Arabidopsis thaliana: one gene and its partners. The protein of the gene in region 2 interacts with the protein of the main gene of each other region in a pairwise test. Each region holds a gene or a part of one and is shown on either strand. Other genes may lie near its edges. The genes, in order: CPSUFE, GrxC5, AT1G55805 and AT5G17560.

Region 1 (4,431 bases), 820 kb from region 2:
AGATTAAATTGATCTCCCCTTAAATCCCCAACCAGATAAAAGCCAGTGGTGACATCTAAGAAATTGCTATTGTTACAGAAAGAGGCAGTGAGAAAATGAAAAAGGAATCTCAAATTTATAAACATCAAGTAACAATATGATAATGAGTGATGCTGAGAGGGAAGGTGGTACCCTTCTGAAAACACTGCTCCTGTAAGTTTTAAAATCATATTTTGGAATATCTACAGCTTGCCCTTGCCTCAATTTCTCCATACAAGACAATAAATGCTCTGTGTCAAATGCGTCTACAGAAACAACAACAATTCATTAGAATCCTGGATAAAAAGAAATTAACGGTGGATGACAAAGAGTAATGCACAAGACTTTTTCTCATAACTCCCAGCAACTAGTAATGTGCTGTCAGGGATGAAATTGCTTTAATAAAAGAGAATACATCAATTAGTAAGATATCACTGAATAATATGGCTGTTAGTTATGCCTTAATTATCCCAAAGAAGTATTATAAAAAAAAAAAAAATGGCCAAAGAAGCTAGGAAAGATTTTTTACTCCTGATGACACTATGTATTGACAAGAGTAGATTACAGAAAGCAATTACACTCCAAATATATTCTCACCTGGATGATCAAAGTTGTATTCATGAACTCTAGCAAGTTCTTCTTCAGTCAGATTATGATAGAACGAGTCCTGCCAAAAATCATTATCATAGGATATTAAGTCGAGCAATTTGTGGTTTATCATGATGCCAAAGGAATTTGAGAATTAGATAAATAGACTGACATAAATATCTAAACAATGGTGACAAGGTTGAACAATGTTAAACTTCAGCCATATATAAGTTATTAGCTGGTAATATTCTCCTTTTAGATCTCTAAATTGTGTGGAATTCAATTGACTTCATATACATTCGAAACACAAATCAAACCGGTGGTTATCACTTAGCTCTATGAAACTTTATTAGCAAAACAAAATTACCAGGTTAATAAGTACAACACGCTGATCGTGCAGTTGCTGGATTATCATATCACAAACAGTAGTCTTTCCCGATGCTGCGCCTCCAGCAACACCTAACCAATTCAAGTCACAACATATCAATCAAGACCATTCGTCAAGCTTTTTTTATCCACGACCATATATTAATCAAAAATGAAAGCAAAAGCAGAACTCACCTATTACAAAAGGCTGTCTTTGGATATCTTCTGATGCAGAAGTGGTTTCCTTAAGTGCACTTGGTTCCAACCCATTCATGTGCCCATTCACGTGTAAACCAGAAAAATGTGCCCGCGAGGCAGCTTCGATCATGTCAACAACGGACTTAGAACCCATCCCGACGACAATTCTGGACATTGTACATTGGTAAAATAACTTAAATCTTTATCACAATCATGCATAAGCAAACACAATACAAGGAATCTTACAACTTCATCTAGATTCTAAACAACAATGTGAATCAAATCCAACTTTATCCAGCAAAACAGAGAAGAAAAGAGTGAAAAATTTCAGCTGCAACCAAAAACTGTAAATCCAAACTCTTTTGATAACCATAGATCAACAAATGCGAGAACAATCCAAAAGAAACAAAACCCTCAAGTTATAACATTTAATCAAACATGGAAGAACCAGAAGAGCAATGATCGATCATCTCGAGGTGAAATCGTACTTACATGAAAAAACAGATCGTTCAAAAGAGATAAGTCGTAAAAATGAGATTTTTAAAATTACCCAGATTCAGTTTTGCTCTCAAGGATCTAAGGAAAGCCTCAAATCAGAAAAAAAAACGGAGATGCAGTTTCTTTCTGTGGAAGTAGACAGAAACAATAGAATCTCAGATAAGAAAGGGACAGTTTTTTAATTTGATTAAATTTGATAAAAGTGTTTTTATTTAATTTAATTTAATTGCTTACATTGGTAAAAGCTGGATTCGGACATGATTGATTTGATATATAATAATGGCGGACGTGTTTGAGGTGACGAACGCAAGAGAACGAAGAACCAGGAAGACGATGCTTCAAAACAAAACAAAAAAAATCTAGATATCTTTTTCTTTTCCTTATTTATGAAAAGAGTCGTATACTTTCTAATTATTCATAATCAACCCCACAATTGATTTTACATCTAATTTTTGGATTTTGGTACATTCCCGGTTTAATTCCCGGTTACTACCTAATTGGCGGTATTGGTTTTTGACTCAGAAAAAGTGAAGAAGGAGAGCTTTCATCATCATCTCAGTCTCTCTCGAAGTTTCAAGTTCGCGACTATGGCAGCAGCGATGTCTTCTTCTTGTTGCGCTTCCTCGCTTCGTTTAATCCCATTCAAACGGACCTTGTTTTCTTCAATCCATTATCCGGCCAAAACCCTTCTTCTACGACCACTAAAACCGTCGGAAGTTCCTTCCTTTCGCCGGACGATCATCACTTTCCAGAAAATTTCAACCGGGATTGTTCCTCCACCATCGGCTTCATCATCTCCGTCGAGCTATGGAGACCTTCAACCAATCGAAGAGCTTCCACCGAAGCTACAAGAGATCGTCAAGCTTTTCCAATCGGTACAAGAGCCAAAGGCTAAATACGAGCAGCTTATGTTCTACGGGAAGAATCTGACACCTCTCGATTCTCAATTCAAGACGAGGGAGAATAAAGTAGAAGGATGTGTTTCTCAGGTTTGGGTTAGGGCTTTCTTTGATGAGGAACGTAATGTTGTGTATGAAGCTGATTCTGATTCGGTTCTCACTAAAGGGTTAGCTGCTCTATTAGTCAAGGGTTTATCTGGAAGACCTGTCCCTGAGATTTTGAGGATAACACCTGATTTCGCTGTTCTTCTCGGGTTGCAGCAGAGTCTGTCTCCTTCTAGAAACAATGGATTACTTAATATGCTTAAGCTGATGCAGAAAAAGGCTCTTCATTTGGAAGTCAAAGGTGAGGAAGATTCAAGTTCTGGAGAGAGTTCAGAATCCAGCTTTGTGTCTATTCCTGAGACTAAGGACGAAGCTAATGTTCCGGAGGTGGATTTGGAGTCTAAACCTGATCTAGTTGAGGATTTGGGAACAGAAAAGATTGATGATTCTGAGAGTGGGTCAAATGTTGTTGCTTTAGGGAGTAGAGGGATGAGGATAAGAGAGAAATTGGAGAAGGAGCTAGATCCTGTTGAGTTAGAAGTTGAAGATGTTTCTTACCAGCACGCAGGACATGCCGCTGTTAGAGGTAGTGCTGGTGATGATGGGGAAACACATTTCAACTTGCGAATCGTTTCGGATGCTTTCCAAGGTAAAAGCTTGGTCAAGAGACATAGGCTGATATATGACTTGTTGCAAGATGAGTTGAAGAGCGGGTTACATGCTCTCTCTATTGTGGCAAAGACTCCTGCTGAGGTTTGAGGGTGTAACATTGGAAGAAGTCAGGTCCTGATTCTTTTACTTCTTTTGGTCCATTTGCTTTGGATATTGTTCTCTGGACCTTCTAATAATGTTAAGAGCTCGATCAGGATTGTGTTAAATGAGAGATAGATATTGAAGGATATAAATAATGTTTTCGCCAATCGCCACATGATTCACCATTTTCAAACTGATTTCCCTTTATCTTATGAGGGTCAAGGTCTTTTTTGTTTTGATATGGTTTCCTGATATTAAGTTTTGTACCTACGCTTTGAGAGATGAATAGAGAGAATGCTCAAGGTTGTTGTCCATTTGGCTAAGTTTGAATCGTTAGAAAGATCACAGCACCTAGGGAAAGCGAAAAAGGAATTTGGGGAGAAAAATGGTACTATATTCATGCCACCATTAGACATGCGAAGTTTCTTGTTCATTTTTTAATTCTTCTAGAATCTAGATACTCAAAGTTGGTATTGTCTAATCAAGTGATGCAAGTTGGTTTGAGGGACTACAGAAAAAAAGAAAGAGATTTGGTTGCTTTACTTCTTTCTGATAAAATAAGTAAAAAATGTGAAAGGAGTTTCAGATGATCCCTGTTTCAGTCTACCGTTAGACATGTGATGTTTCTTAAAGCCCCATTAGCTGAGACTTGTGGGGTTTTATATACAATCAGCTTTACATACCTGTCTAGTGAAACCAGCTGTGGTTTTAGCCAACCAATTTCTGCAACTTTTCTTTCCTGAGACCATTGTATCTTTTTTTTTTTTTTTTTTTTGATCAAAGTTGAGATTTTGAATATTAAAATCCTCTGTGTTGGTATATGCTAAAAAATGGTTAAGCTTCTTCTTGTGTGTTTTACTGATTTTGATTACTTTAAGTCCTAAAGGGAACCAACATAGGCATCTAATGCTTGTACCTCTTTTGCTTTTGGTCTTAATTCTTTTCTCTGGTGGTTCAGGTATGTTGAACTGTATTAAAATACAACATTGGTCTTGGCACTGTGTCTTGTGGATCAATTATGGATCTGCTTCATAGAAAGATAATATCTTTCCAGTTTCTTTATCTT
Region 2 (5,035 bases):
ATAGTAAATTTTAAGTTCCACCAAAGTACTTGAACTGGACATGTCTATAATATCTTGGAAGTAGAACTTCTGATGATTATGACTATATATCTACTATAACGCTTGTATACACCGTGAAAAGTCTATTTCAAAACCCATGGAGGAGTGATCATTTAGCCTCATGTACCCTCACCGCATGTTACCTATTTAGAAACTACAAGGTGAGATGTTGAATTTGAGTGACCATTATCTTTTTGCTTTCTTCTTTGTTTTTGCCATACTTGTCACTTGTCATCTCACATTCACACTTATTCTCAATCTATTTTCATCACCTTGGCAAAAATCCTAGCTAGATAGGCATCATCTTGGATTCTAGTTATGTGGTCTGGTTGTGAATATTTAGCTAGCTAGAAATCTATCACATAGGTAGATATGCGTCAATATACATTTACAGTGCCATTTACTTTTCTTTTTTACGAAATTGCGTAACAAGATTTCATACGACTTTGATTTAAAAGTTGTCAATCACACCAATTTTACATATTTCGACCAAATTCTTATTGTTTTTCAAATAAAATACGGTCTACTTTGACTATCAGATTAACCCAAAAAATACCTCAAAAAATTGATTATATCCGAAAAAATAATTACTTTTTGGATTAAAAATTTTTATCGAAAATCGTTATCGTGAGAGTTAGATTTAGGTCTTATTTGAATCTACTTTTGATTAATTAGTATATATAAATGGGTCAAAATGATTTGAGAGCTGCTTTGAAGATATTAGTGACAAAGAGTAAATGGGTAACACATGCGAATGGTCACAAATTCTGCAGTGGAGAAATCACTCATGTTCAAGGGTCCACATTGTTCATCTTACACATTACCAAAGTCTGCAAAAACTAGGGTTTGTTCCTTTCACATGCCTATGTCTGTTAGATGAACTACCTCTCGTGAAAAGAAAAAAAATATATTCCTCTACACTAAACACAAGAAAGAAGAAACCAACAAACACTTGTATTTACCACAAACAATTTTCAAAGATTTCATTTACGTATAAGTCAATTTTCCAAGTCCAAAGTTTAGGATAGATACGTAATCAAATAAATAATAGACAATGTATGTTATAAAAGTAGGAACTAGTACTTCTCTATCAAGTAACTAACTATACAAGCTCATCAAGTTTTTTTTTTCTTTAATGTAATTTGTTTATAGTTTATCAAGTTTTAGTTCTTATATATACTCAAATATGTACGTAAAGAAAAAATAATTCGAATGTACTGGATTTAATCATTGGGATGGTAAAGTTTCGAATGGAACACTACTGTACCCATATCTCTATATCCCTTTTTATGTACCTGCAACCCCACACACACATATATATATATAGTATGGGCATTTTAGTTCCAATCCGGCTAGAGATTCATTCTGATTATGTATAATATTTATAATGTTTCTAGTATTTAGAAATTTGATATTTCTGTGTAAAATTTCTTACACAATATTTTTTCTTATCATTAGATTTTGTAAGCAAATACAAACCTTAACTAGCTAGCTTAATACATTATTTTTGAGTTGTGTAGAAGAATTCCGAAATTCCACATATGTAAATGCCTAAAATAATTAAAAAGAAATAGATATTTAGATCATTCGCTCGGATACAGATTGGATACGAATATCTGAATTTTCTTAAGTGTTTGATTTGTACCAATCGTTAGTATTTACTCATACACGCATGGATGGACACAGACAACACTAGGAACTTGTACAAATGAGAGTACTTGCCAATTCTTTTAGTCAGTTTTATAATATAATTGTTTATAATTAAAATGAGTTATGTTTTGTGTGGTGCATGTATATAATATTTAATACATGTATGTGTGCATATATTTATGTATGTCAATGCAACAAAGATTTGGGCTTATAAATGAATGAAGAAAATGTTGGTGGGATATGGACAAAAACAAATTGGAGAAACAATGAAATAATTCGAACCCATGACGTTACAACTAGTCAAAAGTCCCCACATGATCTTATCAAACGTAGGTCCATGGATGAGTTGTTTTCGATATCATAAATTTCTCACGAATTTTGTTATATGGCCTTTAAGTGTAAAATGACAAAACTTGCCAAACAAATCATAGACCCAATGCAATTTAGATATCATTGGTGAATGGTTATAGTAAGTTTAATAGCTTTCAATTCAAAATCAATTGAAATGAATGGCTTGACTTATGTTACTTAGTTATTATTATTAATTTCATGATATTTCTTATGTGAGATTCGTAACATGTTTCTTCAAAATAATTCATCTTTCATCTCATCTTGTATGATATCATGATGAGTGAGATATGATTTGTTTTCAAGTCTTATAAAGCCTATTAGGCCCAGAACCACGAATACTTTTCAGAGAAGAAAACGCCCATTAGTAATAGTATAGGCCCATTAAGTATTAGAATAACAAAAATTCAGATTTTTTTTGTTGGTCACGAAAATTTAGCTTTTTAATTTAATAAAAGAAAAATGGGAAAAGAGGACAAGTCACGTCACGAGACAAATTAGCATAGCACGCAAAGAAGAAGAAGAAGAAGAAGCTCCAAGAATCTGTCGCAGAAATCGCCATGGCAGTCACAGCATTTAACACATTGAAACTTGTATCGTCGTCTCTAGATCCGATTCCTTCAGTCTCTTGTTCTTCTTATTCCTTCTCTCTGATATATGTCGGATCTCCTTACAAGAGATGTCTAAAGCAGTCATGTTCTGTTCGAGCTATGACTTCTTCTTCTTCGGCTGCATCGTCTTCTTCTTCGTCCTTTGGATCGAGAATGGAAGAGAGTATTAGGAAAACAGTGACTGAGAACACTGTCGTTATTTACTCCAAAACTTGGTGCTCGTATGTTCACTACTCTCTTTCGTTATCAGTTTTAATTAGGATTTGTTTTATTTCTTTCTTTTTGCTTAATTGGAGAATGGGTTTATCAAATATCCTTGTAAATTTTCGTTTTTACTGTTATTCAGATCTTAATGTTTCTGTTGATAATTTGTTGGTGTTTGGTGTGTATTGAAGATACTGTACTGAAGTGAAGACATTGTTCAAGAGACTTGGGGTTCAGCCACTGGTTGTTGAATTGGATCAACTTGGTATGTTTGCATTTCCTTAACATTTCTATCTTTTTTTTCCATAGCTTAGCTTGAGTAATTGATTTGATCATGATAATACTATATCATGGCTTTAGATAGATGATGAGGTAATGCTTGTTAGTTTTTAAAAGTATCCATTAGTATTGCCTTTAACCTTTAGATTTTGGTTACATATGCATATTACTATTCTAGTTTATGTTGTGGCATTTAGACTCGTTGAAAGAATGCAAGTCTTGTTTACCTTCTGAGTGATTTAGTTTTTCAGATTCGAATGAGTTTACATGTTTATCTTTAACTTTTCTTTCTGGACCATTGGGTTGAAAATGTACATTTTGGGGATTCTTGTTTGCCTTTGATATTTGTTGTAACCTGCTTTTGTTTCTCACTAGTCCATACTTGTATATATCATAAAAGTAAATGTGTCTCTCTCTTTGAGAACAGTTGAAGATGCAATTGTCAAAATGTTTGGTGATTTTGGACAACAAAGAATGATTTGTTATGTTCTATCTAAAGTTCTGTTTGACTAAACTATGTTTGGTTAATTTCAGGTCCACAAGGGCCACAACTGCAGAAGGTACTGGAAAGACTTACTGGGCAACACACTGTTCCTAATGTTTTCGTATGTAAGTAGTTTAATCCGTTTACATCGATCATATCTTCATTGAAACTCTGTTTTCCTTATATATCCTACCTGCTTCAAAAGATGAAACCTTTAGATGTCCCAAAGAAGTGAACAACATAGTTTCAGTTAATAGCTAGTCATAACAGTGTCTAATCTTTGTCCTAATGAGCAGGTGGCAAGCACATTGGTGGCTGCACAGGTACTTTCCTCCTTCTCTTCTCACCTCTTTGGTTTCTTCTACTTCTCAAATGTGAGATGCCTCAGTTTTGGATATTGTTTCACTCAACTATTGGCATTATCTTCTTGTTCTTGTGCTACAGATACAGTGAAGCTTAACAGGAAAGGAGATCTGGAACTGATGTTAGCTGAAGCCAACGGTAAAAACGGTCAGAGTTGAGGAGATGTTGAAACTGGTTCGGAGATTTTTGCATACGGAGCTTGGAAAGTTTTCTCATTTTTGTTATTATCATTGTACCTCATTTGAATACAATAATTATAGTTAATAAATAACATATACATATCATGTAATTGTTGATCTCTCTTTGTTTTTCACCACTTGAATTCACAGTTTTCAAGCCTTCAGAGTAATCCAAATATTACCAATCCCAGGCTGATAAATAAAGAAGGAAAAAAGTGGCCTAATATATATTCTAGAAAATCCAAAATCAGAGAGAAGCGTGGCAAGTTTAGGATCACAGGTCAATAGAGTGAAAAATGATCCCAAACTGAAAAGAGATGTCATCTTCTGAAACAGGGGAAGTTGCAGAGAATCTAGCGAGACCAATGGCTACTCTGGTCTCGTCTCAAACTTACATCTACCATTGTCATATTAGTAAACAAGCTCTTTATCAGGCAAAAGAATCATACTCTCATCGTAGAATTTCCCGTCATAATCACAGAGAAAGACTCGATTTTTCTCATAGAAACCATAGATTGACAATAACTAGAAAGCAGCAACCTTTGTCTTTCAACACCGTGTGTTTTGCCGCAGACGAGCCCTCCGAAATCAGGTAAACTTCGACTTCTTCTAACCTTATTAAATTGGGGTTCGTCTTTAGATTTGAATGAATTATGGTTTAGGTTCTATCTGTGTCGTTGTTGAATCAATTTTAGTACTTGGTAGGTTTATGCTCATTGACATGATGAAAGGTTAAAACTTTGAATGCAAGAATGTTATCTCACACCTTGTGTAATGTCACAGCTAAGTTATCTCTGTTTATGGTTTCAGTGCTGATGCTAGAATCCGTAGTGAGGTTCTGTCTCCGTTCAGATCAGTCCGTATGTTCTTCTACCTCG
Region 3 (3,899 bases), on a different chromosome or scaffold from region 2:
GAATCCTGCAAACAAAGATCAACCTCGGTGCATTATATATCGACTTACAAGAGCTTTAAAAAAATGGTTTATATTGTTGCATAATCATATCGAGGACAAGAATCACCTGATTTACAACAACAGCTCTCTGATCATGCAGTTGCTGCATAATCATATCACAGACAGTTGTTTTCCCGGATGCTGCACCTCCAGCAACTCCTGAAAACAACATTTTCTATTTAACATTTTCTGTTTCTAACCATCTTTGGTAAACTAAAATCCACCACGACTCTCACCGATCACAAAAGGTTGACCATGTTCTTCTTCCTCAGCCATTTGCTCTGGTCTATTTGAAGCTAAACCATCCATTTGATGAAATCCTGAGAAATGAACCTTTGAGGATGTCTCTATTATATTCACATCCGACTTTGAAGCCATTCCTACAACACAAATATGCAAATCTAAATTCACATGAAATATGCCAATAAGGAAAGCAAAGCTACCTTTGTTGTCACCATCCAGGAACAAAAAGGAACACTTTCCAGTCAAAAAACAATTCCTCAAAAGAATCAAACTTTTTAGTGATATTAGTTAGATGCCACAAGTGCCAATGCCGTGATACCCATTTTCTCAAATCCAGTATAACACACAAAACAATCAACCAATCATGATAGGCCACCAGATAATAGTAACGCCAATCCTAAACATGAAACCGTAACTTTTTCCCGGGTAAAAAAGGGAAAGAACAAAAAGAAAACAGAGATCAGAAGAGAAGAAAGCTAGATTTTTTTAGATCAATACATGCAAAAGAATTATAAGAAACGTTTCATCATCATATAAACCAATATAAACCGAATCAACATGAAGATAAAAACTCACGAAAAAAGAAAGAGGGATTGAATAAGCTTCGAGATCACCGATTAGATATAGCTAACAAAAGAGCTTCCAAGTTCCAGATAAAGAATCTAAACATATAAAGAGAGAGAGACACGAGCATTGCCTGTTAAACTCGATGCACAGACAAAAACTGGACTTATTAAAAATAAAATATATTGATAACGTATATAAGTGTATGTATATGCGTTGAAAGAGAGAAAAGAATGAAGGGAGGATGCAGCGGCGGTGACGGGTTTTTGCGGAAACCGGAAAGTGGTTTTTTTGGTTTTACGAAAGTACCCTTCCCACTGAGGGACGTGGTAGTGGCAATTCTCGTAAATGTGAGAGTGTTTGAGTCCCTAAAGTAGAGAGTGTGATCAAGGATCCACGTCAGATCCGAATAGGATGTAGGACCTACTATCGAAAGCTGCAGCTAAAAACGCAGTGATATAGATGCGTGTGGTCGAATGCAATCTTACGTTACTGCAAAATTATTTATTTTATACTATTTTGGATTACGTCTACAATAATTTGTTTATTCTGTTTTTATCCATAACATTTTAACTTCATATGTTTCCTCCAAATCTATTTACCTGAATTTTGTTTTTCGAAATATATAATTTACCAATTAATATTAGTTTTCTCAACATCTACACTACCAAAGGATGCTACAATGTAAAATATTATACACAGGAACAAAATTAGCATATTTACAATTTAATCTGCACGATTGTTTGTCTATAAAATTTGAAGGATATAATCAATTTCTTCTTTTAGTTCCGTAGATTTTTTTATGATTCATTAATGAAGTTTAGACCAGAGATTAGGATCCTTAAAAAATTTGGATGAGCAGCTTAGAACCACTTTAAAAATTAATTTTGTACATCCAAAATTATCGAAACAAACTATTACCCAAATCAAAGATATTGCCTTTACTTCAAAAACTGATTACAGTTTTGGGTATGTTTTAGCACTATACCATCTTATTCTTATCATACCATGATCTTCTTGGAGAATTCATCTAATACTATTTTGGTCATAAATCAACATTTCAAAAAATATCCACGTTACAATTGTAAATTGTTATTACTTAATTATGTCTTAAGTTTTTTAACCACACCAAAAAAATATTAAATCATATACACAAACATTTTTCGAATGTATTTGTTATTTGATTTCTCACACAAATGTGAAGAAGTATGAGGGTGTTTCGATACACTTTTAGAGTTTGTTTGTTTTTTTGTAATTTTTTTCTCACAAATGTGGGGTGATGTTATTATATTTGAAAATTTGTGGACCTTAATGCAAATAACGCCTCTAATAGTAGATTCGTGAAGATGATAAGCTGACAAAACGACAGCGTCTAATATAGTTTCGAGTTTCTTCGACAGTGGCAATGTTTTCATCTTCGATTAGGTTAATCGTATCTGGGTTCCACCGGACTCAACCCCTAAAATCGCCGGTAAATTCTCCGAGCGTCTTCATCTCCGTACCTAAATTCTTCAACTCTGAGTCAAAATCGACGGGAACTGGTTCAAGATCCGTAGCAATGAGCAGCGTTGAGAAAACCGGGTCGGATTCTGGAGCAATAGAGAATCGAGCGAGCAGGATGAGAGAGAAGCTTCAAAAAGAGCTCGAACCAGTGGAGTTAGTGATCGAAGATGTTTCGTATCAGCACGCTGGTCACGCCGGAATGAAAGGTAGAACCGACGATGAGACGCATTTCAATGTGAAGATCGTTTCTAAAGGATTCGAGGGAATGAATTTGGTGAAGAGACACAGGTTGGTCTATCATTTGCTCCGGGAAGAGTTGGATACTGGATTGCACGCTCTTTCTATCGTCTCCAAGACGCCGTCTGAGTCTCCTTCTAAAGACTAGTGTACTGGTACTGTTTAATGTATCTTCTGTTTCTGTTATCAGAGTTTCTCATCAAACTCTGTTCGATTCAAAGATTGAATTTTTACCATCAAAGTGCTCTGTTTTGGAATTTATTGCGGAGCCAAAGTCTTCATTTTTACATACGCTTGAGGTTGTGTGTTGGTGTTTCTGGAATTGTGTGTTGGAACAAAGACACTTGCTTTTAGTTCAATTCGAGTTCTGTCTTTTCTAGCATTCAAAACTATAATGGTCATAGCTTGATGAATTGAATTAAGGCTCCATTTAGTTGAAAGTCCAATCAATGGTCATGTGTTTGAATTCTCAAAGGAAGCTCGATTGTGCCGTGTTTGTTAGCTTGGAGCCAAAAGGGTTGTTTTTCCATGTTTCTGTCTCTTTCTTCTTCAGATTATTCTCCCATTGTCATCAATGGCGTTTGCGTCTTCTAATCGCTAACGCTAGAAACAAAACGCCTTTTCCAATAGTCCATGTCACCTTCCTTTAGCAACAAATATATGTACTTTATGGGCTTAAACCAAATCTAATCAGTGATCACCTTTTTCTTTTGTGGGTAAAGTGAATCGTCATTTCCATTGTCTGGAGAAGCTAAACCGTCCCTCTTCTATACATCAACAGAGCAAGTTACGTTAGTATATGTCCGAAGATAAATAAAACGAAAAAAAAACAACTTTCCAAACTATCATCATTTTCACTACATTGGCGATGAGGGAGCTCTCGGAGCTTAACAGAGACAGAGACGGTGATGAAGAAGTGTGGGTCAAACACTATTCATCCAAGCACCAGATACTTCTCGTAGGCGAAGGAGATTTCTCCTTCTCTTGCAGCTTAGCCACTTGCTTCGGCTCTGCTTCCAATATCTATGCTTCCTCTCTCGATTCATACGGTAACACTTGGTTTACTTACATTGTAAGAGTTATTAAGGTTTTGATTTCGTTATCACTTCCATTTCTGTGATCACTTACTAAGTTTTTGAACTTCCGGTGAATGATTTGATTATTCAAGATTTACACTGTTTTACTCTCTGTTTATAGATTATAAACCTGTTAACAAAGGTTGCAGCTTTAAGCTCGATTTCCTCAGTTGTTGCATGTCTTTTATGGTAATTAAACCAGATGATGTGGTTAGAAAATACAAGAATGCAAGATCA
Region 4 (4,708 bases), on a different chromosome or scaffold from region 2:
TCCACCTTCAGGTCCATCAAGAAGACATAACTTGCCAAGGAGAGCTCAATTTTCCTATGAAAAAGCTCAACTTTCCTATGAAAAACCGTCCGGGCCTAATCGCCGTCATTGCCGCGAGAACTAATACCAAGGTGAAACAAAGCTGCTTAAGAATATTCATGTAGTATCTTCTACACATACATATATATGTGTTCATAGTAAAATGAAGGAATGAACATAGTGTGTTTTCGCACACTGTTCATTCTTCATTTTCTCCTTTTCACTTCAAGACCTTGTAAAATATCAAAATCATTATGTGAAAAAAAACATGTGATGGGTTGTGGACCTTGTGGTAGTATCTATAACAACTATGTTTTGTAAATACCAATCATAATGTGAAAAAAAACATGTGATGGGTTGTGGTAGTATAGTATCTATAAAACCTATGTTTGTCTACTTGTAATAATTGGAGTTAAATGAACTTATGTTTCCAAGTTGTAACAATATGAGTGTTTTCTTTTTTTACAAAACAACATTATGTTTCTAATGATGGTATAATAACCGATAACAAAAAAAAAAAAACTGTTAATCCATGTAGCTAAAGTAAAGATATGGGAATTTGAGCAGATGGACTAGTTGTAACCATTATTAAGTGTTGCTACTACTGATATAAACGATTTTTGTCTAGTTGATGGCTAATACGGTTCCCAAATCAACCATAGTAGTTCAATATTCAGTTATTCACTATTCATGCATGTAACATGTATATAAAAGCAACAATCATATTATTATAAATCTTACAATTTTCATTGCAAAAAACTTTTCAGTTTTGAATTGATACGTTTCCATGCATACATATAATTTTTATGACCACAAATATATTTTAATCTATTTATCGACTAAATTTTTTTTTTTGAAATGATAACATTAGCTAGTAGAGAATAAAGTTTATTTTGAAGATAATCCGCCACCACAAACGCTAATTTTGTTCTTATTCATTTAGAGCGATTGAAAACGCCAAACACGTGTAACCGCAAACCGCAAACGCTCCAACACTTAACATGTGTTGGCGGGTTGCAAGAGAACCAATCAAAGTACTTAAAAAATAACCAAAAGCTGTATATCAGTTCCTTTTGCTTTTTTCTTTTTGATAAAACAAACAGCATTGTCAGCTAATCAAATAATATAAGATATTGAAGCCTTTTAGAGTTCGGAAAATTTAACGCTTCAAACTTCAGAAGGAGTCTTTGTTGTCATTTGATCAACGGCATGAACAACGTTCTGAAGCTCTTCCCAAATGGCTTTGTAGACCATCCTTTGTCTGTTCACTGCAGATTGTCCCTCAAAAGCCGATGATACCACATTGATGCTACAAATATTAAGCAAAACTGGTATTAAGTAACAGAACCATCTAATATGACAAGTTAAAGTAAGAATCTATGACTGGATTCCATCAAGAGCAGAAGAATAAGTACTAACTTATATCCCAACTTTGATGATTCTACTACTTGTTGAACCTGAAACTTTTTTGTGATTAAAATGAAAGAAAAGGAATCTCAAAATATGAATTTATCTATATATCTAACAAACTTCACTAAACACTATCCATAACAGTGATAACACACATCTGCAACTTCACTCAAGTGTAATAAAGAATCATCATTGGAAGACAAAAATGAGTTAAATCAGAGTACTTACCAGACATGACGTCCATCTCCAGACATATCCGTTACAGTAACCGACTCTGCATTCAATTGTTCTTTGATCTGCAAATGAAGCCAAAACCTCATAAGTAGAGAGACATGTGTTGATAAATCGAAAAAAAGAATCGTTTGCTTCAATCATATAAGTAAGAGACATGATTCCTCATTAATTATCTTAGCTTAGTGATCTTGATCATTTTGGAGCTACTGAGAGCAATCGTGTTGCCAATACCAAGTTTCCATCAACTAAATATGACACATGTTGCCAATACCAAGTATCCAATCAATTCCTTCAAAAATTCACTAATAATACTATAACCTATAAATTGAATTGACACTGAAACATACACAATGAATCAATTTCACTGAAATTAGTTAATGAGGTATAAAAATCCAACCTTTAGCTCCATGGATTGCATAAGGGTTTGATCAATAGAACCAGCATCATTGATTTGAGAGGATTTAGTACTGAAATTAAGGCTGCGAATGTCCAAAGCACCAAACCCAGAAACCCTAGAAACTCTATTGCCGTAAATCGACGACGGCGCAGTCTCTTTACGAGACAAAACGGCGCTTACACATCTCGAGTTAGTGAATCTCACGAGAGGAGCTGAGAATGAAGCGAAGGGTCTCTTTGAAGATTGAAAAAGGCGATAAAGACTCGCTCTTGTGGAAGAGAGAAGAACGTACGGACGAGTTGTCGCCATTAATGTCTGCGCCATTGCTTGAGAGACTTGCGAGTAAAAAAAAAAAAAATGTTCTGTGGCAATGTCGTTGGTTCTTGAAAAAATGGGCTTACGACACAACACAGTTAAACTTAATGGGCTTTCGTGGTTTCAAGTCATTTTAAGATTTTAATAATATAATTCTTTAATGGAAATAATGTCAGCCGTTGGATCGAATCCTGAACTTGATCAATTGAACAACACCGCCTTTGGAAATTTGTTTCTCTCTTCAATGCGATAATTCTCTCTTCCTCTTCGAATTTTGTGAGTTTCTTCGAGAGTTGAGGAAGAGAGACTCGAGAATATGGCCAACGATACTCACACCGATGACTTAGACGAGCTTCTCGATAGTAATAATTTCCTAACGAATTTTAATTTGATTTGATAACATGTTCACCAATTCTAGGTGATTGGTGAAAAACGTTTTTGTTCTTGTGGGTTCGTTTTCTATAATTTAGAATTCTGGGTCTTTCTCAGGTGCCTTGGATGATTTCAAGGATCTTAATCTTACTCAAAGGTTACTCCTTTTTCTCATAATCTCTGTCTCTCTCTAATTGTATCTATGCCACGTGGTTAGATTACTTAGCTCTAGAGTTTTGAGATTGTGGTTACATCAATACTAAATTAGAGGTTCTGTTATGTTTTTGGTGGGAATTGTGGTGTTGATTAGCTTTGGATTTATGTAGAAATGGAGGGGTTAAGAAAGAAGAGGGTGATAAAAAAGAGACAGAGTCATTGCCAAGTGGGGTTCAAGGTCTTGGAATGGGGTTACCAGATATGAGGAGTAAGAAGAAAGGAAAGAAAAAGATTGCTAAAGAGGACCATGTTACTGAGGCACTTGATAAACTCAGGGAACAAACTAGAGAAACTGTGAAGGGACTTGAGTCCTTGTCATCGAAGCAGCAACCTACAGGTTCTGATGATGCTATGGTTGAAGATTGGATCAAGCAATTCGAGAATCTTACTGGGTCTAACGTAAGTATACACAAACTGAGTTGTTACTTCTTGCTATACTTATCTAGTTTAATGTTCTCTTTATCTTCAAGTTCTCTGATTAGATTAGATTACTAAAGTTTCATCTAGTTAAGGTTGTTGCAGAGTAGTAACACATGTTGCAAAGTAGTTTTGAAGGCTGTGTTAATAGTAGTGATACTGATACTAATATCGAAAAAACCACAATTGAAGATGAGAATTAGTTTGCAGAACCATTTGAAAGTAGTCTTGATCACTAGAAGTTTTGTTTTTATGATTTCTCATTTCATAATTTCCATGTTTTTGTTTAGGACTTGGAGTCGATAGTGGACACGATGATGCAACAGCTGTTATCGAAGGATATTCTTCACGAACCAATGAAAGAGATTGGTGCAAGATACCCAAAATGGCTAGAAGAGCATGAATCCAGTCTAAACAAGGAAGAATTCGATCGTTATTCACGCCAGTATGAACTTATCAAAGAACTCAACTTGGTGTACGAGAACGAACCAAACAATTCGACCAAGATAATGGAGATAATGCAGAAGATGCAAGAGTGTGGACAACCACCGAGTGATATAGTGCAAGAGATGGATCCTGGCTTTGATTTCGCTAGTCTGGGCCAAATGTAAGTCTTCTTCCTTATTGGAATCTCTGTGATCTTTAAAGACCCCAAGGTGACTAAGTTTTGTATATATATATGTTCACAGGTCTCCGGACATGCTCGAGTCTTCACCAAATTGTTGTGTAATGTGAGGGAAGAAACAGGTTTTAGAAAACTGTTTGGCCTTGTCCAGCCATTGAAGAATGGAGAACATGTTTTTGTTTCTCTTGTGCATTGTACAATGCAAAGCTTGTTTAAGTTCTTTTTTTTTTCTTACCTGAATACCAAAGTTATTGGGTTTCGGTTCTTGTTCCTTTTGGTTAGTTCTGTTTTGGAATAATTTTGAATCTCTACACACAAATTCATAAATTCACTGAAACATAAACGTGCTCTTCATCCAATTCATTTCGGCTGTTCAATAAATGAAGTGTCCTATGTAAGGTTTGTCACGTCAAATCAAAAGAGGAAAGAGCCAAAGAGGCATTGCATCATAGTCTCATGGGTTGGCTGAATTTTCGGTCCTATACTAGTTGGAATCTCAACTTTTCACTCTAAACTTTTAGCCACTTAAAAAACCATCATAAAAAACTTTAATCTCGATAAAACTACACATACTTTCGGATTTGTTCTTAAAACTATGCCTCCAATTGAACCGACCAGTTAACTGATAATTTTTCATCCGGTTTGACTTAACCAGAATTTAATCAAAATTAATCCGATTTTGA

What was found.
Region 1: the proteins of GrxC5 (region 2) and CPSUFE interact in a two-hybrid assay, tested with the Arabidopsis thaliana proteins (one study listed by BioGRID).
Region 3: the proteins of GrxC5 (region 2) and AT1G55805 interact in a two-hybrid assay, tested with the Arabidopsis thaliana proteins (one study listed by BioGRID).
Region 4: the proteins of GrxC5 (region 2) and AT5G17560 interact in a two-hybrid assay, tested with the Arabidopsis thaliana proteins (one study listed by BioGRID).

Annotation. Positions count from the first base shown.
Region 1 is NC_003075.7:13,381,396-13,385,826, reverse strand, and holds CPSUFE (chloroplast sulfur E), read left to right. Parts: upstream 1-2,185; 5' UTR 2,186-2,255; coding exon 2,256-3,371; 3' UTR 3,372-3,629; downstream 3,630-4,431. Other genes in the region: UKL4 (uridine kinase-like 4), read right to left, coding at 172-284, 616-685, 974-1,065, 1,168-1,324. UniProt on the Arabidopsis thaliana protein: Participates in cysteine desulfurization mediated by NFS2 in chloroplast and NIFS1 in mitochondrion. Activates the cysteine desulfurase activity of NFS2.
Region 2 is NC_003075.7:14,196,577-14,201,611, forward strand, and holds GrxC5 (Glutaredoxin family protein), read left to right. Parts: upstream 1-2,466; 5' UTR 2,467-2,597; coding exon 2,598-2,869; intron 2,870-3,043; coding exon 3,044-3,117; intron 3,118-3,665; coding exon 3,666-3,740; coding exon of another isoform or gene 3,741-3,748; exon of another isoform or gene 3,749-3,911; coding exon 3,912-3,938; intron 3,939-4,059; coding exon 4,060-4,136; 3' UTR 4,137-4,327; downstream 4,328-5,035. Other genes in the region: AT4G28740 (LOW PSII ACCUMULATION-like protein), read left to right, coding at 4,475-4,749, 4,968-5,035. UniProt on the Arabidopsis thaliana protein: Has a glutathione-disulfide oxidoreductase activity in the presence of NADPH and glutathione reductase. Reduces low molecular weight disulfides and proteins. Can assemble a [2Fe-2S] cluster, but cannot transfer it to an apoferredoxin.
Region 3 is NC_003070.9:20,857,791-20,861,689, reverse strand, and holds AT1G55805 (BolA-like family protein), read left to right. Parts: upstream 1-2,206; 5' UTR 2,207-2,251; coding exon 2,252-2,734; 3' UTR 2,735-3,080; downstream 3,081-3,899. Other genes in the region: UKL3 (uridine kinase-like 3), read right to left, coding at 1-5, 107-198, 276-417; AT1G55803 (ferredoxin-fold anticodon-binding domain protein), read left to right, coding at 3,455-3,635, 3,865-3,899. UniProt on the Arabidopsis thaliana protein: May act either alone or in interaction with glutaredoxin as a redox-regulated transcriptional regulator, or as a factor regulating Fe-S cluster biogenesis. The glutaredoxin-BOLA1 heterodimers bind a labile, oxygen sensitive iron-sulfur cluster.
Region 4 is NC_003076.8:5,786,170-5,790,877, reverse strand, and holds AT5G17560 (BolA-like family protein), read right to left. Parts: upstream 2,521-4,708; 5' UTR 2,405-2,520; coding exon 2,081-2,404; intron 1,746-2,080; coding exon 1,678-1,745; coding exon of another isoform or gene 1,674-1,677; exon of another isoform or gene 1,503-1,673; coding exon of another isoform or gene 1,484-1,502; exon of another isoform or gene 1,349-1,483; coding exon 1,207-1,348; 3' UTR 914-1,206; downstream 1-913. Other genes in the region: PEX19-2 (peroxin 19-2), read left to right, coding at 2,712-2,757, 2,885-2,924, 3,094-3,382, 3,691-4,007, 4,090-4,135.